3 linked regions of the Macaca mulatta genome follow. The protein of the gene in region 3 interacts with the protein of the main gene of each other region in a pairwise test. Links are inferred from orthologs where the notes say so. Each region holds a gene or a part of one and is shown on either strand. Other genes may lie near its edges.

Region 1 (9,306 bases), on a different chromosome or scaffold from region 3:
CTGAGGGACTGTTCCTGGAAGGATGCGCCTATGTCTGTACCAGATCCCTGCCCCACCACATCCCCATCCTCTGCCTTAGATGGTGAGGAGAGGGATGCAGCCCACACCGACTCCTCCCTCATGGCATGCCATGGGGGCCATGAATGTCCAGCGGTCCGTCTCTGGGTCATACATCTCCACTGAGCTTAGGTTTGACTGTCCGTCGTAGCCCCCTACAGCGTAGAGGCGCCCACAGCTGGCCACCAGGGAGACCCGGCTCCGGCGCGTGTGCATGGGGACAATCAGGCACCACTGGTCTGCCACAGAGCTGTACATCTCAGCAATGCTGAGGAAGCCAGAGCCATCGTAGCCCCCGCAGACAAACATCTTGCTCCCCAGGGAGGCGGCTCCGTGCCGGCAGCGCTTGTTGAGCATGCCAGCTGCAGGGTGCCAGGTGGCAGTGTGGTGGTTGTAGTGCTCCACCTACAGTGGGGAGAGAGGCACAGGTACAGGACAGTCAGAGACAAAGCTCAGTCCATAGAGTGACCATTGCAGGGCACAGCAGCCCCCATGATGTCAAACTCCTGTGGGAGGCATGGGGATGAGGAGCTCTGCCAGTATTCCCTCTGCTGCAGGCCTGCTCTTTGGCGTATGGGGCAGGGAGAGGTCACCTCACCTGACCCTTTCTGTCTGCATCTAAGGAAACAAAAAAAAGGATGTGCCCAAGGATGCAATGCTAGGTAGTGACAGAACCTGTATGAGAGCTGGGTCTCCTGTAATCTCCAGGGCTTTCCACTGCGGCACTGACTGACTATGGAATGACTAGTAAATGGCTGTTGAGCCTTTTTTACAGAATAAATACAATTTCAAACAAATTATCCAAAAGAATACAACTGTTTGCAAATTTACACTTGTAGATTTGCAGTGTCTATGCAGTGTCCGACAGACAGTAGAACAGGGTGGTGGCTGCAGATGTGACTACCCTACACCCTTCTTTTGCGTACACTGGCTCATTCTCTGTAAGTTCAGAATTTCAGAAGACGCAGTGGATAGCCTGAAACCTCACTAGATGATACTTTATTCAGCTATGGCAAGGCTGAAGTTTTTTCAATTAATGATCTTCCAAAATAAATCTCAAAGACAGAAGAAGTAGGTGCCCTTATCCCAGGGGGAGCCCAGACTCACACTGCTGAAGATCTGCAAACCATCGTGGCCGCCTGACACATATATCCTGCCCTCAAAGACCGTAACCCCAGCAGCACTGCGATTCGAGCTCATTGGGGTCACCACTGTCCACCTTCAGGAAAGAGTCAAAATAGGAGGGAAAGCATGAGATTCAGGGTTCTTGTCCCCCCAAGATAGCCTAGCAGGGTTCAGGTGAATTGTGCTGGCCATCTCTCTACCTCTTATCACCTCTCCCACCACCTCTCTGACAGCTCTCCCTGGCTGCCGCCTCTCACCCAAGCTGCAAACCGACAGCCCATCTTCTCTGCTCATCTCCACGGCTGCTCAAAATCATTGTGTCTCATACAAGGCCTCTTTCTCTTACAGTTCTGCTCCTCCCTGCACTCCCTGCCTCGTTAAGCAGACGACCAGCTCTCTAGCTGCTGTACTTATAAATCTCAGTGCTGTTCTGGCTGCTTCTCCCTCACCGTCGACATTCCTGTGGTCCCCCAAGTCCTGGCTGGTTTGCTTCCGAGTCAGTGCTTGTTCCCATCCCCACTGCCAGTGCCCTACCCTGACCTCTCATCTGGACCACTGCCACAGCCTCTTTACAGGCAGCCTGGATTTCACACCAGTCCCATCCAACCCCACCCAGCCAGAGGGATTGCTTCTCCTGTACCTGGACCATGTCCGTCCAGTGGCTCCTCACTGTCTCCTCTAAGACAGTCCAGGTTCCGTCATGTGGTTTTAAACTTTTTTTATTTTTGAGACAGGGTCTCACTGTCACCAAGGCTGGAGTGCAGTGGTGCAATCATAGCTCACTGCAGTTTTGACCTCCCAGAATCAAGCAATCTTCCTGCCTCAGCCTTCTCAGTAGCTGGGACTACAGGCTCACGCCACCATGCCTGGCTAATTTCTCTCTCTCTCTCTCTTTTTTTTTTTTCGTAGAGACAGGGTCTTCCTATGTTGCCTAGGCTGGTCTCGAACTCCTGGGCTCAAGTTACCTTCCTGCCTCGGCCTCCCAAAGTGTTGGGATTACAGGCGTGAGCCACTGTGCCCGGCTCTTCATGTGGTTCTTTACCTCTTGGTCCTCATCTACCCTTCAGCTTCACCCCACACCATATGCTACCCACTCTGCTCCGTCTCCCATCCACACACTGGGCTCCAGCCCATGAGAGGATCATTGCTGTTCTCGATTACAGTGAACACTTTATCGCAGCCTCGCTCCTTGTTGTCTCCCCGCCTATGATGAGCAAACACCTCCCCCTGGCTATCCATGACAGGTCTCACCTTGGAAGACATCCCTGCTACCCTGTCCCTTCCTGCAACCCTGGGGAAGATGCAGGTTCTCTCTGCTCTGTGTCCAAGAGCTTCTGACACAGGCCTCCAGGGTAGGACGATCATGATGCAACCTACGGCCCAACCACACTGGGTGCTTTAAAGGATCTCAGACACCCAGCTTGCTGTCTGATCCATAGTAGACCGGTTAAGTGAACAGAATACTGACTTAAAGGCATCCTAATAAGTCCATTCAACTAATTTGTTTATATTTTATTATATAAGATGAGAGGATTCAAACACTAAAATGAAAAACTCGGGCTAACCTTGTCAATGTTTTTCAAAGAGTGTTCCACAAATGAGTCCCACAAGACGGTGACTGGTGTGTATTAAAAACCCGAGGTTAAACAGAGTTATTCACTACAGGGTTTCTTAGAGCCTTTAAAATGTTAATATATCTTATGGAAAGACAAGGACTCTGGCAGTTCAGACATCAACATTTTCCATGCCTATCTGACCACAGAACTTAAAAACTTTTTATTTTTTTTCCAAATCATATCCTACCCACTTTGGAACATGCTGTTCATCTACTTCTTATCCCCTCTTGCCTGTATTTCCATTAAAATGGGCTGATTTAGCTAAAAGGTACAGACCATTAAATAACTATTTCCAAGCATCTATGTAGACTATTTGTTTTAAAATTTTATTTACTCATTCTTTCACTTAACCAAGGGTTATTAAATATCTGGTATATACAAAGTACTATAGGGGAAAAAGGGTAAGACATTCTCTACCCTCAAGAAGCTTAAATTTAAAAAACTGCAGTTCTGATTTTTATACTGTTTATCAGCTCCAGTTGCCCCAAGGGAGTTGGATTCCTTACTTGTCCGTCTCAGGTGAGTAGGTCTCCACGGAGCTGAGGGAAGAGTTGCCATCGTAGCCCCCACAGACGTAGATCTGCCCGTCCAGCACGACTGTCCCCATGGCACTGAAACAGACAGAGCTGTCATCCCAGATGAGCCGTAGCCTTCCTGGAGCAGCCTCTCTTGCCCACTGAGAAACAAACCTACCTACTGCCTCTTTCTGCAACCTAAATCTCAGGTATGTGACTAAGTAAAGGCAAAAAACTGAGGTGACAGAAGCTGCCCCATCATTCCTCTTGTGCCCCACCCTTCTACCGCAGGCTGCCTCCCCTCCCCGCTCTTCTCTGTCCTTAATCTTTCTAAAATGCTCACCTTCCACCTCACCATGTGAAGGTTGAATTTACCTTGAAGGCCCAACGCAACTTCCTCTTTCCTCTTCCTCCCCTTTGTAAGAATTACTCTTTCCTGCCCCTACACTCCCTGAGTGGCTTATTACAGCCGTTGTTACAATCATTCATTCATCCATCAGATCTTTATCAGCTGGGGTTGAGAGTGGTAAGCAAGCCAAAGTTCCAGCCCACAAGGCACTTATGTTCTGACATTATAGGCTACCAGGAATCTATCTGCCACTTCTGTTTGTGTGTAATTTTTAATCAAAGCCTTGATCTGTCACTCAGGCTAGAGTGCAGTGGTACCATCAGAGCTCACTGTGCCTTGAACTCCTGTGCCCAGTCGATCTTCCTGCACTTCAACCTCCCAAGTAGCTGGGATTACAGGTGTGCACCACCACACCCAGCTAATTTTTTTTTTTTTGAGACAGGGTCTTGCTATGTTGCCCAGGCTGGTCTCAAAACTTCTGTCCTCAAGTTATCCTCTTGTCTTGGCCTCCCAAAGTGCTGGGATTACAAGAGTGAGCCACCACACCCAGCCAATCTATCTGCCACCTCTTAATAAGTGAGGACCTCCTGGAAGACAGGAAGGTCCTCACTTCATCTTCATCTGTGTGACCTTCACAGTGATAAGTATGATGTCCTGTATGTAACAGGCACTGAATGTATGTTTGTTGTGTTACCTCTGCTTTTTCCCACTCAATTCACATATGTTGTTTTCATCATGTGCATGGCCTCTAATTTATCTTAGTGGTTGATGCCACAGCTCCTGTTTGCTGTGCATTTACTACATGTGTCAGGTACTCTACATTTGCTATTTTCTTTTTTCTTTTTTTTTTTTTTTGAGACGACGTCTTGCTCTATCATCAGGCTGGAGTGCAGCGGCACAATGATGGTTCACAGCAATCTTGATCTCCTGGGTTCAAGGGATTCTCCCACCTCAGACTCCCCAGTAGCTGGGACTACAGGCACATGGCACCATGCCCAGCTAATTTTCTTTTTGTATAGACGGGGGTCTCACTATGCTGCCCAGGCTGGTCATGAACTCCTGGGCTCCAGCAATCATCCTCCTGCCTTAGCCTCCCAAAGTGCTGAGATTATAGGTGTGAGCCACTGTGCATGGCCCACTTGCTATTTTCAGCCCTTAGCACACCCTGCAAGGAAGGAAAGAGCACCATAATCACTGTACAGACAGGCAGCTATAGCTTGGGGAGGCTGAGGTCTCTCCTCAAGACTGCCCAGAGAGAGGCCTGCCTCAGATTTAAATGAGACAAGCCCAACTACCCAACTCCTCACATGCCAAGTTTTTCTAATACCAAAGACCCAGGGGTCTGGTGTAATCATGTAATCTTCCACTCTACACAAAGCCTTATAAGGAATTCAGCATGAATGCCAAGCTGTATTTTCAAATGTGATGCTGGTGAAGATTAAAAATGAATCTAGGTTTCTAACAAACAGGAAAATAAAACATACCAGGCTTAATGCTACCTTTTTTTTTTTTTTTTGAGACAGAGTCTCATTCTGTCAACCAGGCTGGAATGCAGTGGCACGATCTTAGCTCACTGTAACCCTTGCCTCCCTGGTTTAAGCAGTTCTCCCTGCCTTAGCATCCCAAGTAGCTGGGATTATAGGCGCCCACCATGCCTGGCTAATTTTTATATTTTTAGTAAAGACAGCGTTTCACCACGTTGGCCAGGCTGTTCTCAAACTCCTCACCTTAGGTGATCCGCCCTCTGTGGCCTCGCAAAGTGCTGGGATTATAGGCGTGAGCCACGGTGCCTGGCTTGCTGCTACCTTTTAAATGTACATAGTAATCAAACTGATCCACAGAATGTCCCTTTCAGGGACATGATAACAGACCCCCTGGACCAGCCCAAAAGAGGAGAGGGACTTGCCTTAGGTAAGTACTGAGGGAAGATCACACATTTACTAGACATGATTACTATCCTTCTGGACACGGACACAAACATAAAAATTACATAACAAAACAGGTGTTGAACAATATGAAAATGAATTAAGAGGTGCCACAAAACTGCATGAGATTAACTATCAACTAGGTAGTAAAGGTGAGTGTGAAGAGGAGAAAATGCTGATTAGCATGGACTGGAATAGTCCAGTGTAAGAAAGCTCTATGGGATGGCATAGAACACTGGGGGAGATGGGAAGGAAAGATGGCACGATGTCACTAACTGGCAGGACAGACAGCTGTGTGGGATGTCAGGAGAGAAGTGACTAGGAACGCTTTAAGGGAGCCTATAATTTAAAAGGGATGTAATGGAACCGGGCCCACACTAATAACAGGGTATTAACCACAGTGAAGGAAAGGAATACCCAGAGGACTTTCCTCCAAGACAGCACTCTAAACCAAGTAACATCAAAGCAAGGAAGTGGTCCAGAGCATACACACAAGGAAGGACAGTTGACTGCAGTCAAAGCAAAAAAGCTACTCATGGTTGGGGACATGGAGCAATGAGTCACTCAAACACAGGAAGCTGCAAAGTATCCAAGCAGCAAAAGTGGGGATGGTGGGAGGAAAGGACTCCCAACGCATTCTTGGGAGGGGCAGATCTTACGTATTTTTTTCTTCCCAAAGGAACCTACCCCAATGTTTTGTGAACTGGTCTCACCAGTACAAAGGCAGATCCCTCCCAGCTCACATCCACATGTGAACGCTGCTGGATGTGGAACAACATTAGGCATATGTCAAGGAAGCTCAATGTGTAAAAGCGATCAATGCAGAGCTGTCCTGGGTAATGGGCAAGGGGGCCCTGGGCAGCTTTCCTCTCCCCTCCTTGGGCTGCGCCAGCCTTTCGGCTGCCCACACGTGTGACGACTCCATCATGTGTCTGACATAATGAAACATGCCACCTGTTGTCACCTCAGCCTTAAGAAGGCTAAACACAGGCACCAGGATGTCTTCTAATCCCACTTCTTATTCGGGCAATATAAGCAGAGAAGTGGAGGGAGCAGGTAGCTAGAATGTACTGAGTGACATACCAACTTGGCCCACCTTGCAAATACCTATGTTTTCCTGTCTAGGAGAATGTGTGTGACCTAAATAAAAGAACACTGCTTTGGTTCATATTCTCCCCAGGTAGTGGAAACTCATGTGTGAGGGGAGTCCTGGGGAAGGAAGGTATACAGAAAAACACCTTGGATTTCCTTTTATCACTAATAAAGGTAAATCCTCCTTATTCTTCAAGTTTCAACTTTAATCCCACCTCTTCCCTGAAATCTTCCAGAAGTTCCAGTCCAGTTTCTCTCCCTCCTTCAATCTTCCATAATACACATTTCCAGTCCTTATCTGGCACTTAAAATAACAACACAACTTCCACATGTCCACGTCTGGTCTCCCCAAGTTCCTCAAAGGACAAGGCGGGTATTTTACTTTTAAGCAGATGGGGGCTTGCTCCCAGGAGGTACCGGCAGTGGCTGGCCTGGCTGCAGGAAACTCCTAGGCCAAAGCTTGTATTTTACTTTACTGTGTGCCCCTGCTTTTCTAGCATGGCGCTCCCCAGGTGCTCAGTGTGTATGTTCGGGCTGCACGTGGCTTCCAGAATACCTTCTCTTGCTATTCATGCTCCCCACTCTGGTCCATGTGTCTGTCTCCGGGTTGTACGCCTCCACAGTGCTCAGCCGTAGCTGGCCGTCATATCCTCCAATGGCATAGAGAAGCCCGTTCACCACAGCCACGCCAACACGGCTGCGGGCTGTTGTCATGGGACGGCACCTCTCCCAGTGATTGGCGATGGGGTCGAACACTTCCACCACATTCAGGGAATCACCTGCATAAAAATTTGCTACTCAAATTAAAACAAATGAGACCACTTGTTTAGATCACAGCTATTGGGCATTGATTATACGGAACATTTGACTCAATTCTATTAGCTCTTCCCACAGAATTACTCAAGGCACAAGGGCCCACTAAGAAATTTCAGCCATGATCACCTCAAACCTAATTCTTTAAGGAAAATCAGAATCAGACAGGAGGTATTTATTTTTTAGAGAGGGCAGTTTTCAGTTACAATCAGGTACTCCACCTATTTAAAGTCAAAGGTATAGGCGAATCGATACAATATTTCCTCCAGGCAGGAGGCATGCCAGAGGGACGGGCATGCGCTCCAGTGCTTTCATTTGCTAGTGGGTGACCCAAGGCAAGGGGCTTTGTGTCTCCACCCTCTGCTTCACACATGAAATGGAGATAATCTTTACGGATTAAATGATGTAACAGGTAAAGCACCTAGCATGGTTCAATATACTTAGTGCTCAATAAATAGTCACAGCAGCAAGGAATGATCATTCCAGCCCTACCTTTTGCATCAGGTTTTTGTGATGATCAAATAAAATAACCCCCTCTTCCTGTGGTATGCTGCTATGGGGCACTTGGCATTTCATTTGCACACTGCTCCAGCGTGCACTGAGTTGAGGACTTACCTGTTCCAGGCCCTATGATTAACAAGCAGCAGCTAGTACCCAACTCTCATTAACATTCAATTAAAAACAAAACTGGGCCAGGTGCGGTGGCTCACACCTGTAATCCCAGCATTTTGGGAGGCCAAGGTGGGCAGATCACTTGAGGTCAGGAACTAAAAACCAGCCTGGCCAACACGGTGAAACTCCATCTCTACTAAAAATACAAAAATTAGCTGGGTGTAGTAGCATGTGCCTGTAGTCCCAGCTACTCAGAAGGCTAAGGCGGGAGAATTGCTTGAACCTGGGAGGCAGAGGTTGCAGTGAGCCAAGATTGCACCACTGCACTCCAGCCTGGGTGACAAGAGTGACACTCCATCTCAAAAAATTTAAAAACAATAAAAAATAAAAACAAAACTGCCTGGGAGTGCCCACCAACTCCTCCCAAGTTGGGAGGCCATGCAGCTTTCTGAAAATCTTACTTTTAGATTCAAAAACTGCCAATAACCCACGGACTGTAAAGCATGTGTGTGTTTCACAGTGGGTGGGGCTGACAGTGGTAGAGCCTGTGTATTTGGATAATCTTTCTCTTGGGGACATTCTCAGTCTAACCCCAGAGATTCATATAACCAAATGTGAATAGTCTGGTATGGAATTGGGTCTCTGACTGTATCCTATCCAGGGCTGACAGGATGCTATACCATAGCCAATGTGATACTAGGGCAAAAGTGCTGGCTCAGGAACCAGTACACCCAAGTTCTAGTCCTTGGTCTGCCAAAAACAATTGTATGAACATAGTGAAAGTTCGGTGGGGCTCAATTTCTTCACTTGTCAGGTGAGCAGGCTAGGCCTCAAAGATTTCTAGAAGGTCTCTTTAGCACTGATATTCTGATTCAATGGCCTGAATATGTGACATGCTCTAACTGTAGAGCAATTGTATAAAATCAAGAGGGGCAAGGGAGATGACAGTACAAAAGAGAGAAACCAGAAGGGCCAGGCTAATTTGTTTGGTGCTTCCTCATCCATGGAGTCCAAGATGGGGGTCTATAAAGGGGAGCCGCAAGGTACCTGCTGAGTTGAGGCCCCCCACGGCGTAGATAAGCCCAGCGATGGACGTGCAGCAGCGTGGCCGGGTTCTGAAAGCTGGCAGGTGGGGCCGGCGCTCTGGCATGAGGTGGTAGTCCTTTGCTTCATCTACCAGGTCCCTGGAATAAGGTGGAAGA
Region 2 (9,736 bases), on a different chromosome or scaffold from region 3:
CGTCTCAAAAAAAAAAAAAAAAAAAGAACTGGCTGGGCATGGTGGCATATCCCTGTAGTCCCAGCACTTTGGGAGGCGGAGTTGGGCGGATCACTTGAGGCCAGGAGTTCAAGACCTGTCTGGCCTTCATGATGAAACCCTGTCTCTACTAAAAATACAAAAATTAGCCAGGCAGAGGCCATGTGCGGTGGCTCACGCTTGTAATCCCAGCACTTTGGGAGGCTGAGGCGGGCGGATCACCCGAGGTTGGGAGTTTGAGACCAGCCTGACCAACACGGAGAAACCCTGTCTCTAGTAAAAATACAAAAATTAGCCAGGCGTGGTGGTGCGTGCCTGTAATCCCAGCTACTTGGGAGGCTGAGGCAGGAGAATCGCTTGAACCTGGGAGGCAGAGGTTGCAGTGAGCCGAGATCGTGCCATTGCACTCCAGCCTGGGCAACAAGAGTGAAACTCTGTCTCAAAAAAAAAAAAAAAAAAAAAAAAAAATTAATAGGGCTTGGTGGTGCATGCCTGTAATCCCAGCTACTCGGGAGGCTGAGGCACAAGAATCAGTTGAACCTGGGAGGCAGAGGTTGCAGTGAGCCGAGATCGTGCCACTGCACTCCAGCCTGGGCAACAGAGCAAGACCCTATCTCAAAAAACAATAAATAAATAAAAATAAAAATAAAAGAACTAATAAGATAGTAAGGTGAGGCACAGTGGCTCACGCCTGTAATCCTGGCACATTGGGAGGCTGAGGCAGGTGGATCACCTAAAATCAGAAGTTCAAGATCAGCCTGGCCAACATGGTGATACCCCATCTCTACTAAAAATACAAAAATTAGCCGGCGTGGTGACAGATGCCTGTAATCCCAGCTACTCGGGAGGCTGAGGCAGAATTGCTTGAACCCAGGGGTGGAGGTTGCAGTTAGCCGAGATCGTGCCATTGCACTCCAGCCTGGGCAACAAGAGTGAAACTCTGTCTCAAAAAATTAGCCGGGCTTGGTGGTGCACACCTGTAATCCCAACTACTCGGGAGGCTGAGGCACAAGAATCATTTGAACCTGGGAGGCAGAGGTTGCAGTGAGCCGAGATTGCACCACTGCACTCCAGCCTGGGCAACAGAGCAAGACCCTGTCTCAAAAAACAATAAATAAATAATAAATAAATAAATAATTAATAATTAATAAAAGAACTAATAAGATAGTGAGGCCAGGCGCAGTGGCTCACGCCTGTAATCCTAGCACGTTGGGAGGCCGAAGCAGTTAGATCATCTGAAGTCAGGAGTTCAAAACCAGCCTGGCCAACGTGGCAAAACCCCGTCTCTACTAAAAATACAAAAATTAGTCAGGCGTAGTGGCGGATGTCTGTAATCCCAGCTACTTGGGAGACTGAGGCAGAATTGCTTGAACTCAGGGGGTGGAGGTTGCAGTGAGCTGAGATCGTACCATTTCACTCTATTTTGAGCAAAACTTCATCTCAAAAAATAATAATAATTTAAAAAAATAAGATAGTCAGAAATTATTGGTGTGAGAGCACAAAAGTACAGGAAAGTAGAGAAGTAAGCCCAGTAGTAGGGCTGATTTTACCTTGGGGTCATTTGCTAATTTGGAATTAGTGGCAGAAAATACGCTGTGTGGGGCTGGTGAAGTCCAGGCCAGGTTTGGTGGCTCACACCTGTAATCCTAGCACTTTAGGAGGCCAAAGTAGGAGGATGGCTTGAGCTTAGGAATTTCAGACCAGCCTGGGCAACAGGGTGAGACCCCATCTCAATTTTTTAAAATTAAAAAAAAAAAGGGCCAGGCACGGTGGCTCATGCCTGTAACCCCAGCACTTTGGGAGGCCGAGGTGTATGGATCATGAGGTCAGGAGTTCAAGTCCAGCCTGTACAAGATGGTGAGACCCCATCTCTACTAAAAATACAAACATTAGCCAGGAGTGGTGGCACGCGCCTGTAAGCCCAGCTTCTTGGGAGGCTGAAGCAGGAGAATCACTTGAACCCAGGAGGCAGAGGTTGCAGTAAGCCGAGATTACACCACTGCACTCCAGCCTGGGCAATAGAGGGAAACACACTCTCAAAAAAAAAAAAAAGGAATCCAAATGTCCCCAAAGGTGATAATCTTGGTAAACCACCTTCATGTTTTGGGCTAGGATCTCAAAAGGCTGCACTCCTAGGGGCAACCTGGGAGTAGAATAAATAGAAAATCTAAGGTCCTGCTTGGTGGCTCACATCTGTAATCCCAGCACTTTGGGAGGCTGAGGTGAGGATCAGTTGAGCCCAGGAGTTGGAGACCAGCTTACGCAACATAGTGAGACCTTATCTCTACCAAAAATTAAAAAAATTAGTTGGGTGTGGAGACATATGCCTGTAGTCCAAGCTACTCTGGAGGTTGACACAGGAGGATCACTTGAGCCCAAGAGGTTGAGGCTTCAGTGAGCCGTGTTTATGCCACTGAACTCCAGCCTGGGCAACAGGAGTGAGACCCTGTCTCAAAAATAATAATAATCCAGACCCAAAACATTAAAAGACCAAAATTAAGAACCAATTGATAGATTTAATACTATGTTAGACTTAACTGAGGAGCAAGTAATGAATTGGAAGAAAGGACAGCAGAAACTACCTAAAATGAAGAATGGGTAAAAAGGAATGAAAAACATAAAAAGAGAGGGTAAAAGCCCTTTGCAGTGGCTCATGCCTGTAATCCCAGCACTTTGGGAATCCGAGGCGGGCGGATCACCTGAGGTTGGGAGTTCGAAATCAGCCTGACCAACATGGAGAAACCCTGTCTCTACTAAAAATACAAAATTATCCAGGCATGGATAATGGTGGTGCATGCCTGTAATCCCAGCTACTCGGGAGGCTGAGGCAGGAGAATCACTTGAACCCAGGAGGCAGAGGTTGTGAGCTGAGATCACACATTGCACTCGAGCCTGGGCAACAAGAGCGAAACTCCGTCTCAACAAACAAACAAAAACAAACAAAAAAGACTAGCTTTGACAGCATATAAAGTACCCCATCTCTAAATAAATAAATACATACATACATACATACATAAATAAGCCCGGGGGCAAGGGAGGTGGCTTATGCCTGTAATCCCAGCACTTTGGAGACAGAGGCAGGAGGATCACCTGAGGTCAGGAGTTCAAGACCAGTCTGGCCAGCATGGTGAAACCCCATGTCTACTAAAACTATAAAAATTAGCCGGGCATGGTGGCATGTACCTATAGTCCCAGCTACTCAGGAGGTTGAGGCAGGAGAATCGCTTGAACCGGGGAGGCGGAGGTTGCAGTGAGCTGAGATGGCGCCACTGCACTCCAGCCTGGGAGACAGAGGGAGACTCCATCTCCAAAAAAAAAAAAAAAAAAAAAATTAGCTCAGAGTGTTGTGGCCTGTGCCTCTGAGTAGTCCCAACTACTGGGGAGGCCGAAATGGGAGAGTCTGTTGAGCCCAGGGGGTCGAGGCTGCAGTGAGCTATGATGGTGTACCACTGCTCTCCAGCCTGGGCAACAGAGTGAGACCCTGTGTACAAATAAAATAATAGAAGAGAGGGTAAGAGACAAAGAGATTACTGGGGGAAAAGTCTAATACGTCTTTGGAGTTCAGGAAGGAGGGAAATAATAGGTAAAACTAATACTGGAAGATATAATAGCTAATAAATTATATAAATGGATGACAAACCTCAAGCCATTGATTCAAGAAGCTCAACAAACCTCAAGCAAGATTTTTTTTTTTTTTTTTTTTTTTTTTTTTTTTTTTTAAGACGGAGTCTCCCTCTATCACCCAGGCTGGAGTGCAGTGGCGCCATCTCAACTCACTGCAACCTCCGCCTCCTGGATTCAAGATTCTCCTGCCTCAGCCTCCTGAGTAACTGGAATTACAAGTGCCCGCCAGCACAAGCCACCGCACCCGGCCCTTTTTTTTTTTTTTTTTTTTTAAATTAATAACATTTATTTAAATCTGGATGGTGGTTATGTGGACAGAATACGTTTAGACTTAAGATGTTTACGTTCTGCTGTAGTAAATTAAATATCAAAAAAGTACGTATGGAAGGGAGGTAGATGAGGGATAAAAGTCTACAAGTTGGATTCAGTGTATACTGCTCGGGTGATGAGTGCACCAAAATCTCACAAATCACCACTAAAGAATTTATGTAACCAAGCCGGGCGCGGTGGCTCAGGCCGGTAATCCCAGCACTTTGGGAGGCTGAGGCGGGTGGAACACCTGTTTTCCACATTAATTCAATCAATATACTCCTCCTATCTGAAACCTGTTTCTCCTGCTTCGAGTTTGTAGACGTGTAGTGTTCATGGTTGCCTAAACTCCCTTTTCCCCATCAACTTCAACTGCTAGTGGCAAAAATGGCTGATACTGCTTGCGTTTTTGGGGTAGGAAAATCGGCAAGGTATTTTCATTCACTGAATGTAATGTAAATTACGTGTACGGTACAGGGCAATGAAAAAATTCCGATAGCAGAGGATGGTTTCGATCCATCGACCTCTGGGTTATGGGCCCAGCACGCTTCCGCTGCGCCACTCTGCTATCTGAAGGCCAACGTTCTCATAACTGTTATAGAAGACCACGTAGTCGTTGTCCTGACTTCTTCAGTGCCACCTAATGTCTGATCAAAAATTCGTCATTACTATAGAACCAGTTCTTATTGGCTAGTTCCTGACACAGTAGGCGTTTTTTATTGGTTCATAAGCCCGGTTTGACAAAGTAAGCCAATAGGCATAAGCGATGGGGTAAGGCGGGAGCCAATCACGCCGGGTTTTATTGGGACACGCCGGCAAGACTCCTCTTCAGTTGTCTGCTCCTCAGAGGAAAGGGGCGGTTGGTGCGGCCTCCATTGTTCGTGTTTTAAGGCGCCATGAGGTAAGGGGGTCGAAGTGGTCGAAAGGTTTCAGGTATTCGACGGAAAACTTTGGGAACGTGGGTCGAAAGAAGTCGGAGTACCTAAAAGGACCATGTATCCGGGAGCTGGCCAAAAACCTGAGAACTCCTGGTCTAAGAGAGTGGGAGAGAGTGAGGCCGGTAGAGGCGGGGAAACGGGCCCGGGATGGGGTTGGGGCCCAGGAGTGGGGAGGCGGGTTCGACACCTCTCTCTGAAGGGTTGCGATGAGGAGGTGTCCTCAAGTCCCCGGAGGAGCTCCCCACCTTCCCTCCGCCCCCGTCATCCGGGCTGAGAATGCTGGAGCGAGCCGCATTCATCCTCAGTGCGAAGGGCTTGACATATAGGACATGCCCGATAAATGTGTACGTTAATGAAGAAATGAGCAATCTTTAGCTTCCGAAGTATTAGGATTCGTGTGGCCCAGGATTATGGGTTATTTCGTGTAGGGCTCACTGTCTGAGCCCCATCATTACTTGATGGGGGGTTGTGATTAACTTATCCAGAATGAGGAGGTTATGGGGGTGTAACTGGGCACCATTTGGAATGGGGAGGAGTGTGTGAGTGGGGTCTCTTGCCTACCGTTGGGAGGTTCCGAGGGATGAAAGTAGCCAACTTAAAATGATATGGCCGGTGGGTATTCCTTCAATGAGATCAAAATAAAATCTGCATTTCTAGGGGTGACAGAGGCCGTGGTCGTGGTGGGCGCTTTGGTTCCAGAGGAGGCCCAGGAGGAGGGTGAGTGCCAGCTTTTAGCATCTCTGCACTTAGTTGTTAGTTTCTGCTTGTCATCTAAATAGGAGTTTTGGAATAGACTAATGTCACTTGGTTTTGTGAGAGCCAACTGTGGTCTTTTCCGCACTCCTGCTAAATGAATTTGGCCCCACTATGCTAAGAATGATTCTCTCCCTCCCCAGAGACTTTGTCACTCATTCTGAGGTCTGACATGTTTTCAAAATTGTTGGTGTGTTATTTAAATCTCACTTGATTCCTACATAGGGAATAATTTGGCTGTTTTTCATGTTTTAGGTTCAGGCCCTTTGTACCACATATCCCATTTGACTTCTATTTGGTGAGTACCTTGGGTTAATAATACACAATTTCTGGCCATTCTTGAAATGGAGCCTAGTATCTCCCAGTTAATGAAGTTAGATAGTGGTTGAAGAGGGCAGGCACAGTGCCTCACACCTGTAATCTCAGCACTTTGGGAGGCCGAGGCGGATGGATCACCTGATGTCAGGAGTTTGAGACCATCCTGGCCAATATGGTGAAACCCCATCTCTAGTAAAAATAAAAAAGTTGCTTGGGCGTGTGCCTGTAATCCCAGCTACTTGGGAGGCTGAAGCAGGAGAATCGCTTGAACCCGGGAGGCGGAGGTTGCGTGAACTGAGATGGCACCACTACCAAAAAAAAAAAAAAAATGGTGATTGAAGTGAGGGGGAAAGTGATTTTTGAAAAGACTTGGGGTTTTGAGTCAACTGTGTGTTGCTTTACCTACAGAAACAGTGTAAGCATGGTGGGGAGAATAATTCCTTGACTACTGTTGGCATTAAACATGATTATAATCTTTGTTCTGAACAAGTAATCGTATCTACGGCTAATTTGTTACTATAAAGATAGTGATAGCTTAAATTATGGCTATTCCAGCTTGTATCCTTGTTTGAACATTTTTTCTTTTTTTTTTTGAGACAGAGTCTCACTCCGTCACCCAGGCTGGAGTGCAGTGGTGCAATCTTGGCTCACTGCACTGAACCCGGGAGGCAGAGGAATCAGGACCTCTGCCTCCCAGGTTCAAACAGTTCTCCTGCCTCAGCCTCCCAAGTAGTTGGTATTATAGGCGCCATGCCCAGCTATTTTTTGGGTATCTAGTAGAGACGGGGTTTCACCATGTTGCCCAGGCTGATCTTGAACTCCTGACCTCAAGCGATCTGCCCACCTCGGCCTCCCAAGGTGCCGGGATTACAGGCGTGACCCACCATGCCTGGCCTTTGAACAAAATTTTTTTTTTTTTTTGAGGCAGGGTCTTACTGTGTTGCCCAGGCTGGAGTGCAGTGGCACGATCTTGGCTCACTGCAGCCTCGCTTCCTGTGTTCAAGGGATTCTCCCACCTCAGCTGGGATTACAGGCGTGAGCCACCATGCCCAGCTAATTGAACAAATTAAGGAGTAAAAACAAGTGTAGAATTTTCTATTTTTAACCTTTTTCTGTCGTAGTAATAGAAAAAACAATCTCTCCTGTATATTATTTTCGGCAAATGGAATGTAGTTGTTTACTTCTGGTTTAGTGTGAAATGGCCTTCCCCCGGGTCAAGCCAGCACCTGATGAAACCTCCTTCAGTGAGGCCTTGCTGAAGAGGAATCAGGACCTGGCTCCTAATTCTGCTGAACAGGTATGTTCTTTTGGCTGTCTTCCAGAAATGTCTCTAAAGCAGGTAAAAGTATTGGTAAAGAGTAACTGTTGGTAAGGTTAAGAATGGTGTTAACAGAGCCTGAAATCCACAGAGGGTTTAATTGTTCTCCTTATTTCTCATTGTGGGTGGAGACAGCCAGGTGGATATATAAACAAATTACATATGCATTCTTATTTTTATTGGGGATAAAGAGTTGTTCTCTTTCCATATATTCAAGGCCAGAATGAAGTGTTTTTAAAGTCCTAGGTCAGTATTGAGTCAGCTCGTATGGAAGGGATTAGGAGAAAATACTCAAACTCTGAGAATTTGCTTCTAATTTTTCATCTTCGAGTATTGTTTCATGCTGTTTTTCAGGCATCTATCCTTTCTCTGGTGACAAAAATAAACAATGTGATTGATAATCTGATTGTGGCTCCAGGGACATTTGAAGTGGTGAGTTTTTGATGATTTAGTTTTAGGAAAGGGCACCTTTGGTAGTGTCGAAATTTCCTTGGCTCCTGACTTTTAATTTTCAGTTGTCTATTATCCAAAGCCAAGCTTAAAATGAGAACATACAGTGGGATTTCTTTGTAGTACTGATCTTGGGGACAAGACTTGTATCACTGTTATGCTATCTGTGATGTATCAGGCTTTCATGTGGTGGTTCTGGGGTGATTTCACCTCTTACTTCCTAATTTGGGTAACAGGTGGCTATGTTGTAACAGTTCTGGGAGGACTTAGGCACCTTTTTTTCTTCTAAATTGTTTTTCCCCCGAAATCCTTTTTCCAATAGCAAATTGAAGAAGTTCGACAGGTGGGATCCTATAAAAAGGGGACAATGACTACAGGACACAATGTGGCTGACCTGGTGGTGATACTTAAGATCCTGCCAACATGTGAGTGTGCCTGTTTCTGGTCATGGGAACAGAACATAGCACTTGGATTAGGGGCTTAGGGATCTTTTTTTGTTTTGAGACAGATTCTCACTCTGTTGGCCAGGCTGGAGTGCAGTGGTGCCATTGTGGCTCACTGCAGCCTTGACCTCCACTACAGCAAGTGATCTTCCTGCCTTAGCCTCCCGAGTAGCTGGGACTACAGATGTGTGCCACCACACCCAGCTAATTTTTTAATTTTTTGTAGGTACAGGGTTTCACCATATTGCCCGGACTGGTCTCAAACTCCTGAGCTCAAGCAATCTGCCCACCTCAGCCTCCCAAAGTGCTGGGATTGCAGGCGTGAGCCACCGTGCCCAGCCCTTAGGGATCTTGAAAGCTCAAATTTCTTGTGCGAAAGGATGTTTATTTATTTATTTATTTTTTGAGACGGAGTCTCGCTCTGTCGCCCAGGCTGGAGTGCAGTGGCCAGATCTCAGCTCACTACAAGCTCCGCCTCCCGGGTTCACGCCATTCTCCTGCCTCAGCCTCCTGAGTAGCTGGGACTACAGGCATCCGCCACCTCGCCCGGCTAGTTTTCGTATTTTTTTAGTAGAGATGGGGTTTCACCGTGTTAGCCAGGATGGTCTCGATCTCCTGACCTCGTGATCCGCCCGTCTCAGCCTCCCAAAGTGCTGGGATTACAGGCTTGAGCCACCGCGCCTGGCCTCACGAAAGGATGTTTGTAAGACAAATGTTTTTAGTTTTTGTTTTTGTTTTTGAGACGGATCTCTCTCTGTTGCCCTGGCTGGAGTGCAATGGCGTGATCTTGGTTCACCGCAACCTCCCCTCCTGGGTTCTAGCTGTTCTGCCTTGGCCTTCCGAGTAGCTGGGATTACAAGCATGTGCCACCACTCCCGGCTAATTTTTCTATTTGTAGTAGAGACGGGGTTTCACCATGTTGGCCAGTCTGGTCTCAAACTTCTGACCTCAGGTAATCCGCCTGCCTTGGCCTCCCAAAGTGCTGGGATTACAGGCGTGAGCTACTGCACCCTGCCTGACAAATGTTTTTTAATGAGTGATAAGGGACAAACGCTGAAGTGTGTGTGTCTGAAAGAATGTATAGCAGGTTACTGTAGAGCCATGTTTCTCAACTGGAGGTAATTTTGCCACCCAGGGGATATCTGGCAGTATCTGGAGGTACTATTGATTGTTAAAACAAGGGGGTGCTACTGGCATCAAAAAACGGTGGAAGCCAGGTGTGGTGGCTGTATTCCCAGCACTTTGGGAGGCTGAGGCAAGAGGATCACTTGACCCCAGGAGTTTGACCAGCCTGTGTAACATAGAGAGACCCTGTAGCTGCAAAAAGAAAAAAATTAGCTGGGCATGGCCGTGCATGCTTTGGTCCCAGCTACTCAGAAGCCTGAGGTGGGGCCGGGTGCAGTGGCTCATGCCTGTAATCCCAACACTTTGGGAGGCCGAGGCCTGGAGTTCAAGACCAGCCTGGCCAACATGGCAAAACCCCGTCTCTACCAAAAATATAAAAATTAGCCAGGCGTGATGGTGGGCGTCTGTAATCCCTGCTACTTGGGAGGCTGAGGCAGGAG
Region 3 (10,040 bases):
CCCCAGCCTCCCCTCCAGATTCACAATCTCCAGCTTCTCCCCAGGATTCTGAAGCCCTGGACTTTGAAACCCCTTCCTCCTCCCTGGCACCCCAAACTCCAGACTCTGCCTTGGCCTCTGAGACCCTTGCTTCTCCCCAGTCTCTGCCTCCAGCCTCACCACTGCTGGAGGATAGGGGAGAGGGGGACCTGGGGAAGGCCCTGGAACTAGCAGAGGCCCCAAAGCGGGAGAAAGCAGAAGGGGCAGCAATGCTGGAGCTGGTGGGATCCATTCTCCGGGGCTGTGTCCCTGGGGTGTATCGAGTCCAAACTGTGCCCTCCGCCCGGCGCCCTGTGGTCAAGTTCTGTCATCGGCCTTCAGGTCTCCACGGTGACATCTCCCTCAGTAACCGGTATCTTTCTTTTTTTCTTTTTTTTGAGACAACATTTTGCTCTTGTTGCCCAGGCTGGAGTGCAATGGCACCATCTTGGCTCACTGCAACCTCCGCCTCCCGGGTTCAAGTGATTCTCCTGCCTCAGCCTCCCAAGTAGCTGGAATTACAGGCATGCGCCACCATGCCCGGCTAATTTTGTATTTTTAGTAGAGACGGGGTTCCTCCACGTTGGTTAGGCTGGTCTCGAACTCCCAACCTCAGGTGATCCGCCTGCCTCGGCCTCCCAGAGTGCTGGCATTACAGGCGTGAGGCACCATACTTTTCTTTGGGGCAGGCCGGCTGAGAATTCTGGGGTGCGCCAGGAGGGAGTCTGGCTTGGGAAACTCCTGCACCTGCCAAGTCTCAAGTTTGTCCTTGTTTGGGACTATCCCTCTTTCTGTCCCTTGTCTCCTCCTGCCTGGCTTCCCTTTCAGTGTTTGTAAAGTGTGTTCCTTAGAATATTACTTTCAAGGGATGTAGAAAAGAGTTCTGCGGTTGAATAAATTTGGGAAAGTCAAAATTAGATGCAAAAAGTTTTCTCCATTTCCTCCCTTCTCCCCTTGCCTTGCCTTCTCTTTCTCCGTTCCTTCCTTCTTCTCTCCCTTCCTGTCTTTGTTTCTTTGCATAGTAAAGGCTCTTGGCAGTCTTTTTTTTTTTTTTTTTTTTTTTTTGAGATGGGATGTTGCTCTGTCACCCAGGCTGGAGTGCAGTGGTGTGACCATGGCTCAAAAGCAGTGTTAAGAATAATAGGCCGGGCGCGGTGGCTCAAGCCTGTAATCCCAGCACTTTGGGAGGCCGAGACGGGCGGATCACGAGGTCAGGAGATCGAGACCATCCTGGCTAATATGGTGAAACCCCGTCTCTACTAAAAATACAAAAAACTAGCCGGGCGAGGTGGCGGGCGCCTGTAGTCCCAGCTACTCGGGAGGCTGAGGCAGGAGAATGGCGTAAACCCGGGAGGCGGAGCTTGCAGTGAGCTGAGATCCGGCCACTGCACTCCAGCCTGGGCGACAAAGCGAGACTCCGTCTCAAAAAAAAAAAAAAAAAAAAAAAGAATAATGTGCTGTGAATGTCCAGGATGGGCGTACAGGATGAAGTGTTTCCCGAACTCCTTTGTCTTTTTGCACACTGTCTCACAAGATCAGTGTTTGAACAACCTTTGGGGAAACTGTTTTGGCCTTATTCCAGCTGGCCCCAGTTATGCAAGTCTGGAATGAAAGCTGGGGGTGGTAGGTTCTGATGTCCCCAAGCCCTAACAACCTTGTCCCTGCTTCATCCCAGGCTGGCCCTGCATAACTCCCGTTTCCTGAGTCTCGTCTCTGAGCTAGATGGTCGAGTCCGGCCCCTCGTGTACACCCTCCGCTGCTGGGCTCAGGGTCGGGGGCTTTCAGGTGAGAATGAATCAGGACAGACTTGGGGCTGAGTCAGGACAAAGGCAGGGATTCAGGGAGAGAAGGGAGGTCAGAATGGGCACTGAGGTTGAGAAAACTGCCAGTGGGGGGATTCGAAGCACCTCTGATCTAACTGGAATTACTGCTTATTTACCCAGGGAGTGGCCCTCTTCTCAGTAACTACGCCCTGACCTTGCTGGTGATATATTTTCTTCAGACCAGGGACCCTCCTGTGTTGCCCACTGTATCCCAGCTCACCCAGAAAGCAGGTACTCAGCCTAGCTTCCACCCTCTCCATCTTGTTAGCTTCCTCTCTTCTTCATCACACTTAGATACACCAAAGCAACTCTGGGAATGAGATCTCTGCTATCACCCCCATTTCTACCCCAACCCTCAATCTCCCTGCTTCCAGACTGACTCTCAACTTTTTTACTTTCACAGGAGAGGGGGAGCAGGTGGAAGTCGATGGCTGGGACTGCAGTTTCCCCAGGGATGCCTCAAGACTGGAGCGCAGCACAAATGTGGAGCCCCTCAGTGAGTTTGGGGAGCCAGGTAGAGGACTAGTAATGATGTTCATCAACAGTAGGTAACATATATCACACTGTGTGCCAGGCATGGTTCTCACAGAAAACCTGTGAGATACCTAATATTATTACTGCCGTTTTACAGATGAAGAAACCATGTTTGGGAGCAATTAAGTGACTTGCCCAAGGTTACACTGGCTAGCAGGGAGCAGCAGCATCTGGGCAGGGAAATCATGTGGGGGCAGGGAGAGAGGTCTGACCTCTTGTTTATAGGCATCAGAGAAGCCTATCTTCCTGGGACTCTGCTGAGCCCCTTGGAAGGGGAAAAGAAAGTCCTGCTAAGGAAATGGCTGTGGTGCAGGACCTGTGTCAGTTCTGGCCTCTAAATGACTCCCTTTCCCCACTCTTCCTCCTCCTCCAGGTTCCCTGCTAGCCCAGTTCTTCTCCTGTGTATCTTGCTGGGATCTTCGTGGCTCACTGCTGTCCCTGCGGGAGGGTCAGGCACTGCCTGTGACAGGGGGCCTGCCCTCTAATCTCTGGGAGGGTCTGCGCCTTGGCCCCATGAATCTCCAGGACCCTTTTGACCTGAGTCACAATGTCGCAGCCAATGTGACCAGCCGGGTGGCTGGGCGCCTACAGAACTGCTGCCGAGCGGCAGCCAATTACTGCCGAAGCCTCCAGTACCAGCGCCGTTCCTCCCGGGGTCGGGACTGGGGGCTGCTCCCTCTTCTGCAGCCCAGCTCCCCCAGCTCCCTACTCTCTGCTACTCCGATCCCTTTACCCCTTGCACCCTTCACCCAGCTCACTGCTGCCCTGGTGCAGGTATTCAGGGAAGCACTGGGGTGCCATATAGAACAGGGAACCAAGAGACCGCGGTCAGAAGGAGGTGGAACTGGGGAGTCTGCTCAGGGAGGGACAAGCAAAAGACTGAAACTAGATGGACAGAAAAAGAGCCATGAGGAGGGGAGAGAGGAGCAGCAGGGATGTGCAGGGGACGGGGTAGAAGAGATGGTTATAGAGGTTGGAGAGATGGTGCAGGACTGGGCCATGCAGGGCCCTGGGCAGCCAGGGGAGCTGCCCCTGATGACTGGAAAGCATGGAGCCCCTGGAGAAGAGGGGCAGCCCAGCTATGCAGCCCTGGCAGAGCGGGGGCCCAAGGGACATGAGGCAGCCCAAGAAGGGTCCCAGGGTGAGGCAGGGCAGGGGGCATCTCTGCCCTCCTCAGTGAGCTGGCGCTGTGCCTTGTGGCACCGAGTGTGGCAGGGACGGCGGCGAGCCCGTAGACGCTTGCAGCAGCAAACCAAGGCAGGAGCCGGAGGTGGTGCTGGCACAGGAGCAGGGTGGCTGGCAACTGAGGCTCAGGTCACCCAGGAGCTGAGAGGACTGAGTGGTGGCGAAGAGAGGCCAGAAACTGAGCCCCTGCTGAGCTTTGTGGCGTCTGTCTCCCTGGCTGACCGAATGCTCACTGTGACCCCGCTCCAGGATCGCCAAGGCCTGTTCCCTGATCTCCATCATTTCTTACAGGTTTTCCTCCCTCAAGCACTTAAACATCTGAAGTGAAGACATGGCCCCTAAAGGGCAATAAAGCTGCTAGTTTATTAATACAGAGTCTCCCGTTTCCTTTCATTTCCATCTGGTCATAATGCTTCGCCTCCCCCAGAACTTCATGAAGCTGCTCTCCTCTGACCCCGAACATGGGTCTCTCCCTACTGCTCTCCACCCCAGCAGCCTCTCCTTCCTACAGTTCGCACAGCTTGCGGGGAGTGCGGGGGCAGCACCGTGCGTGGCACCTGGCACCCGCGCAGAGTTCCTGAATGGCAGAGCGGTGGGTGGCTGGAACAGTACTGAGAAGAGCCAGGTTTGCCTCCACATTCTTCCTGCCGCCTCAGATTAATGGGGACAAAGATGGAGATTTGCGTTCAGGGTTCTTCATTCTCTCCTTTAAACGAGGAGAGTTCATCCCGTTCTTAAACTGGGTAAGAGATTTCAAACCTGAACATGAGTCAAAAGCCATGAATATCAGAAGCGACGATGTCGGGTCTTCCAGCGTCAGCCCCTCCAGGGGCCGAGTCCGGAGGAGGCGGGAGGGACAGGGCGCGTTCTCCCTCGTGTCCCTGCCCTGCTTCGGGCCGGAGGGCCGGTGTCCTTGCTCGCAGTAACAGCACCCTGGAGCTGTAAGGGGTTAGATGTGAGCAAACGTCACTTTGGCAGGCGGGTTCAGACCGGGGCCCCTGTTAGACACTCATCCCTTTCTGGAGGAAAAGCAGAGCAGGAACTAAAGGATATAGCACACACACTGCCACCTCCGCGCAGCAGTCGTTCCTCGCTCCCATGAGTTTCACAGAATCATGTGAGGGGCTTGGCAGAACCTACCATCGAGTCACTCGTCCCTGGGTGGGCCAGAGGGGGACGCCCCCAGCAGCCTGACGGCGCCAGGCCAGCAGCGGCGCCACGTAGCCGAGAACCGGCGGCTTTTCCAGCGGGTTCTCACAGCTTCCCCGCCCTCCACGCTGTCTACCTCCACGTCTAGACTCCAATTGGTCCGCTGCACCTGAGGGGCGGGCCAGTCAAGATCTCCAATGCGCAGGCGCGAGCTTTTTCCGCGCTGGCCAGCAGGCCCCACCCACTCCGTTCTTTTTCCAATTCGGCGCCACTGGATACCGAACTGTCGTACGTATGTCTTCTGTGTCGTCCTCGCTTTCCGGCTGCTGTTTCTCCACGGCTCTCCCCTTTCCCCCTCCTTTCTCTCCTGGGCGGCTTACTTTGCGGCAGCGGGGAGAACCCCACCCCCTTTCTTTGCGGAATCACCATGGCGGCTGGGGTAAGTTTGCCGGCGCTGGTGGTTCGGGTCATCCTATCCACCGCCATCCTTTGCCCGAGTGGGGCCAGTCGGCGCCAGAGGAGTTCTGAGGCTGAATGGGGAACTGATTCTGGGTCTACAGACCGTACTGCTGGAGAGCAGGGTTCCTACGGCCTGGAGGGGAACTGAGGCTGGGGCTCTCGGAGGCCAGAGGTGGAAGGGTCTGGGGAAGAGGAGAAAAGGGATGCCGAATCTGGGCCGTCCGAAGCCTGAAAAAGGGGTTCGGCTCTATTGCCGCCTTGAGGCGTAGTATCTGGGTAGGTTGACGAACTTCTGTGACCGTTTTGTGGAGTAACAGCGGGGACAGGGTGAAGAGCGGGTCTTTGTAGGCAGGTCCGGCTGGCACGGTTAAAGGTAGTCTGTCAGGGAGGTTTGGGAGCGAGAGGATTCTCCGGACAGTGAAGTCAGACCAATTGGAGTCCGCTGGCCAGCTTAATAGAGAAGGCAACGCTGGGGAACTTGCTGCGGGACAGGACCGGAGGGATGGTATGCGCGACACGGAAAGAAAGGCTTTTGAGGGAGAGGAGTTGATTTAAGAAGACGGCATGCCATCCCCTATCTCTGGCCACTCTGAGAGGAACTAGAAATCTCTCGATCGTTGTGCGTTCCTTAGAGCAGCTGAGCAGTAGAGTAGGCAGGCGCTCGGAACCATCAATGAATGAAACGAGGGCTCCGTGAAGGGAAGGGAGTATGTTTGTAGGCAGATGGAGTCTGATGGAGCTAGAAGTTCTGGATTTCTTGGGAGATAGATTTGAGGGAAAGAGAATGCTTCTAGAGGTGTCCTTAGGGAAGGTCAAATCTGTCAACAAGCTTTATTTAGCAGTTGGTGTGTAGTTCTGTTCTTGGTATTTCGGAGGATTCTGATTACATATGACAAGTGTTAAAGGACTTGGTTCACCAGAGGAAGTAAAAGGGTGAGTTGAACACATTGGGATTATTCAGGCAAGTCATCCTGGGGAGTGGCATTTAGGACTGGGACCCTAATGCTCTTATTAATTTTGTTCCTCTCTTTCTTTCATAGACCCTGTATACGTATCCTGAAAACTGGAGGGCCTTCAAGGCTCTCATCGCTGCACAATACAGCGGGGCTCAGGTCCGCGTGCTCTCCGCACCACCCCACTTCCATTTTGGCCAAACCAACCGCACCCCTGAATTTCTCCGCAAATTTCCTGCCGGCAAGGTGAGTTGGGAGATGGGGAGTGTCCTTCGGTTCTGAGAAACGAAGGCCTGGGATTCTATCATTCTGGAGATGGCCCCCATCTCTAAAAGAGAGCTTCCCATGTTATTTTCTTCAATATTTCAGTGATTTTATTTTGAGATAAATGCAGATTCACATGTAGTTGTAAAAAAAAAAAAAGTACAGAGCTATTCTGTGACTTTATACATTCACGAGTTTACTTTGTGGGAAAGAGAATGAGTTTTGACTAAGCATTTTCAGTGCAAATGTATCAGATTGTCTGTTATGGGCAGGATTCTTACCCCAAGGGGTTTACAGAGATAGGTGAAAAAACATGCTAAGAATGGAGGAGATGAAGTACTATGTGGATCTGGGTCACACACTAATACTTGCACTGATACATTGATACAGGAGTTACTTTTGGTCTTCTGCTTGTTTGATCCAGAGATTTCATACAAATATCTTGTAATATTCAAATCTATTGTGCTTCCTAGTTAACATTGTGAATTCAGATTGCAAAGGATGCCCAGCTCTTGAAGTATTTATTTATGGTTCTTGAGTATCAGATAGTATGGAGAGTTTGGATAGTGAGGATCGTCAGTCTTACATAAGTATTTTTATCCAAAGCAGTTTGGCTTCTGGTATTGGGTAGGGAGAAATTTTGTGTGTTTTACCTTATCTTTTCACTGCTTTGTCCCCAGGTTCCAGCATTTGAGGGTGACGATGGATTCTGTGTGTTTGAGAGCAACGCCATTGCCTACTATGGTAATTTGCAGGGGTATATGGGAATGGGAGAATTTGGAGGTGAGGGTGTACAAGAGGGTGTGAGCGGGGATGGATATGAAGGAATTCTTCAGGACCTGGACTGGTGTTGGCATTCCCCCAGAGTTCTGACCTTTGTGTTCTGCCTCTGCAGTGAGCAATGAGGAGCTGCGGGGAAGTACTCCAGAGGCAGCAGCCCAGGTGGTGCAGTGGGTGAGCTTTGCTGATTCCGACATAGTGCCCCCAGCCAGTACCTGGGTATTCCCCACCTTGGGCATCATGCACCACAACAAACAGGTGAGCCTTGGAACTTTGGGAGAAGCCAGGGGCAGGGGTGGCCTTAGCTCCTGGGTGTTGGGAGTAAGAAATAAAATAGGTTGAAAAAAAGGTGCCAAGGATATATAGGCAATGAGAAGACGTACTTTCTGGGGTACAAGTTTGAAGTAGTGGGCAGTTGATGGAGGAAGTGTCTGTCATGAGTGGTCACAAGAGGGATTGCTGCTGTGAAGAGATTATACCAAATGGTAAAGGGGGTGGCTGGACCAGAGGACCTCTAAAGTTCCTTTATGATATATTTAGAATGATCCTAGGGTCTGTCTCCATTGAAAGAGGGTGAGGGTGAGCTCAGACTTCTAGGTGAAATAGCCTTCTTAGTTCTATTAATTGGGGAGGTGAGGGAAAGGGATTGGTACCCACTGATGAGTTTTATCATGTTGAATCACTAGGCCACTGAGAATGCAAAGGAGGAAGTGAGGCGAATTCTGGGGCTGCTGGATGCTCACTTGAAGACGAGGACTTTTCTGGTGGGCGAACGAGTGACATTGGCTGACATCACAGTTGTCTGCACCCTGTTGTGGCTCTATAAGCAGGTGAAGTTTATGGAGAATCTATTTGGCAGAGGGTAGATGGGGATTAGAAGCAAAGTGACAAGGTATCTATGTTACCCTGTATTCTGCTGAGGGCTTGGAAAACAGCTAGAGCTGGGTGCAGTGGCTCACACCTGTAATCCGAACACAATGGGAGGCCGAGGTAGGCAGATCACCTGAGGTCAGGAGTTTGAGACCAGCCTGGCTAACATGGTGAAACCCTGTCCTTACTAAAAATACAAAAATTAGCTGGGTGTGGTGGCGCACACCTATAGTTCCAGCTACCTGGGAGGCTGAGGCACAAGAATCACTTGAACCTGGGAGGTGGAGGTTGCAGTGAGCAGAGATTGCCCCACTGCACTCCAGTCTGGGCAACAGAGTGAGACTTTGTCTCAAAACAAATAAACAAACAAAAAACAGCCAGGAATCCCAGGACTGAATACCATCACTTGCTTTCCCTTGTCTTAAGAAGTTGGGTAATGTCTTGCCTTTAGTTCCTGTTTGGCAGCTAAGATGTTTAGTTTGTTGCCATATTTCTTGGGAAGATTGGTTATTCTTAGTTGTGAAGACAGAGGTGATGATGGTGGCGAAGCATTAAGATCTTTTTGGAGGCAGGCCAGGCACTGTGTCTAACACCTATAATCCCAGCACTTTGGGAGGCCTAGGCAGGTGGATCACTTGAGGTCAGGAGTTTGAGGCCATCCTGGCCAGCATGGCGAAACCCTGTCTTAAAAATACGAAAATTAGCCAGGCGTGGTGGTGGGCACCTGTAATCCCAGCTACTTGGCAGGCTGAGGCAGGAGAATCACTGGAACCCATGAGGTGGAGGTAGCAGTGAGCCAAGATTGAGCCACTGCACTCCAGCCTGGCGGACAAGAGCGAGACTCCATCTCAAAAAAAAAAAAAAAAAGGCTCTTTTGGAGACAAGTACAGGTTGAAGCCTTGGCTTCATTGTTTACCAGTGTAGGTAAAGAGTTATTTGTGGGTGAATTGCTTTAGTCCCCGTTTTTTACTTTTTGCAATCTATAAAATCAGGGTAGTAATAATCACTGTCAAGGTTATTGGGTCAAAAAAGAATGACATGTCACTGGTTTCCAAATAAAAGCTCTTGGACTCATGCTGGTCCAGAATAGTAATGTGATCATAGCAAAGAGAAAAACACTTACTGCATGCCAGACCCTGTGCCAGGGGCCTCATGGGGATCATCTTAGTGAGTCTAATAAGTGGTAGAGTAGAATTTGAACCCAAGTACTGTGGAACCAGCACTCTGATTGCTATGTTCTGTTTCCATGACAAGATTTTTTTCCTCTTCTGATCTTTGCAAACTAAAAAATAACAACAGTTCTACGCGAAGCTGTTTATTCTTATTTGTCTTTGACCGTGGCCAATACACCAGACACTAACTTTAATTTGAAGGACTATCCATTATTCTTTTTTTTTTTTTTGACAGAGTCTTGCTCTGTCACCCAGGCTGGAGTGCAGTGACACGATCTTGGCTCACTGGAACCTCCACCTCCCAGGTTCAAGCAATTCTCCTGCCTCAGCCTCCCAAGTAGCTGGGATTACAGGCATGCACCACCAAACCCAGCTAATTTTGTGGTTTTGCCATGTTGGTCAGGCTGGTCTCGATCTCTGGATGTGAGGTGATCCACCCGCCTTGGCCTCCCAAATTGCTGGGATTACAGGCATGAGCCACCGCGCCCAGCCAGGGCTGTCCATTCTAAATCGGTTTGAATGTTCTTTACTTTTTGAAGTTTGATGGGTGTGTGTGTGTGTGTGTGTATAGTATGGCCAATGTAGATAGTAAATATCTATAGTGTTTAGATTTTATTTGGCAAAATAAGTAGTTGATACCTCTCTGTGGGTCTCAACCTTTTTTTTTTTTTTTTGTGACGAGGTCTCGCTCTTGTCCCCCAGGCTGGAGTGTGATGGTGCGATCTCGGCTCATTGCAACCTCCGCCTCCCGAGTTCAAGCGATTCTCCTGCCTCAGCCTCCCGAGTAGCTGGGATTACAGGCATGTGCCACCATGCCCGGCTAATTTTTGTAC

Evidence for each region.
Region 1: the proteins of EEF1G (region 3) and KLHL18 interact in binary tests that used the Homo sapiens proteins (3 or more experiments, as listed by UniProt). The two-hybrid records come from large-scale screens. The link is inferred for Macaca mulatta from reciprocal best matches to the Homo sapiens genes EEF1G and KLHL18.
Region 2: the proteins of EEF1G (region 3) and ILF2 interact in a two-hybrid assay, tested with the Homo sapiens proteins (2 studies listed by BioGRID and IntAct). The two-hybrid records come from large-scale screens. The link is inferred for Macaca mulatta from reciprocal best matches to the Homo sapiens genes EEF1G and ILF2.

What each region holds. Positions count from the first base shown.
Region 1 is NC_133407.1:110,681,166-110,690,471, reverse strand, and holds part of KLHL18 (kelch-like protein 18), read right to left. Parts: exon of another isoform or gene 9,289-9,306; coding exon 9,152-9,288; exon of another isoform or gene 8,450-9,151; intron 7,474-8,449; coding exon 7,236-7,473; intron 3,425-7,235; coding exon 3,305-3,424; intron 1,277-3,304; coding exon 1,165-1,276; intron 463-1,164; coding exon 76-462; 3' UTR 1-75. UniProt on the Homo sapiens protein: Substrate-specific adapter of a BCR (BTB-CUL3-RBX1) E3 ubiquitin-protein ligase complex required for mitotic progression and cytokinesis.
Region 2 is NC_133406.1:113,364,945-113,374,680, forward strand, and holds the start of ILF2 (interleukin enhancer-binding factor 2), read left to right. Parts: upstream 1-4,759; 5' UTR 4,760-4,847; coding exon 4,848-4,852; intron 4,853-5,546; coding exon 5,547-5,606; exon of another isoform or gene 5,607-5,638; intron 5,639-5,897; coding exon 5,898-5,940; intron 5,941-7,133; exon of another isoform or gene 7,134-7,152; coding exon 7,153-7,257; intron 7,258-7,632; coding exon 7,633-7,710; intron 7,711-8,050; coding exon 8,051-8,153; intron 8,154-9,736. UniProt on the Homo sapiens protein: Chromatin-interacting protein that forms a stable heterodimer with interleukin enhancer-binding factor 3/ILF3 and plays a role in several biological processes including transcription, innate immunity or cell growth.
Region 3 is NC_133419.1:11,488,836-11,498,875, forward strand, and holds the start of EEF1G (elongation factor 1-gamma), read left to right. Parts: upstream 1-5,127; 5' UTR 5,128-5,136; coding exon 5,137-5,148; intron 5,149-6,208; coding exon 6,209-6,367; intron 6,368-7,065; coding exon 7,066-7,129; intron 7,130-7,280; coding exon 7,281-7,423; intron 7,424-7,851; coding exon 7,852-7,995; intron 7,996-10,040. Other genes in the region: TUT1 (speckle targeted PIP5K1A-regulated poly(A) polymerase), read left to right, coding at 1-391, 1,694-1,803, 1,962-2,072, 2,245-2,337, 2,749-3,887. UniProt on the Homo sapiens protein: Probably plays a role in anchoring the complex to other cellular components.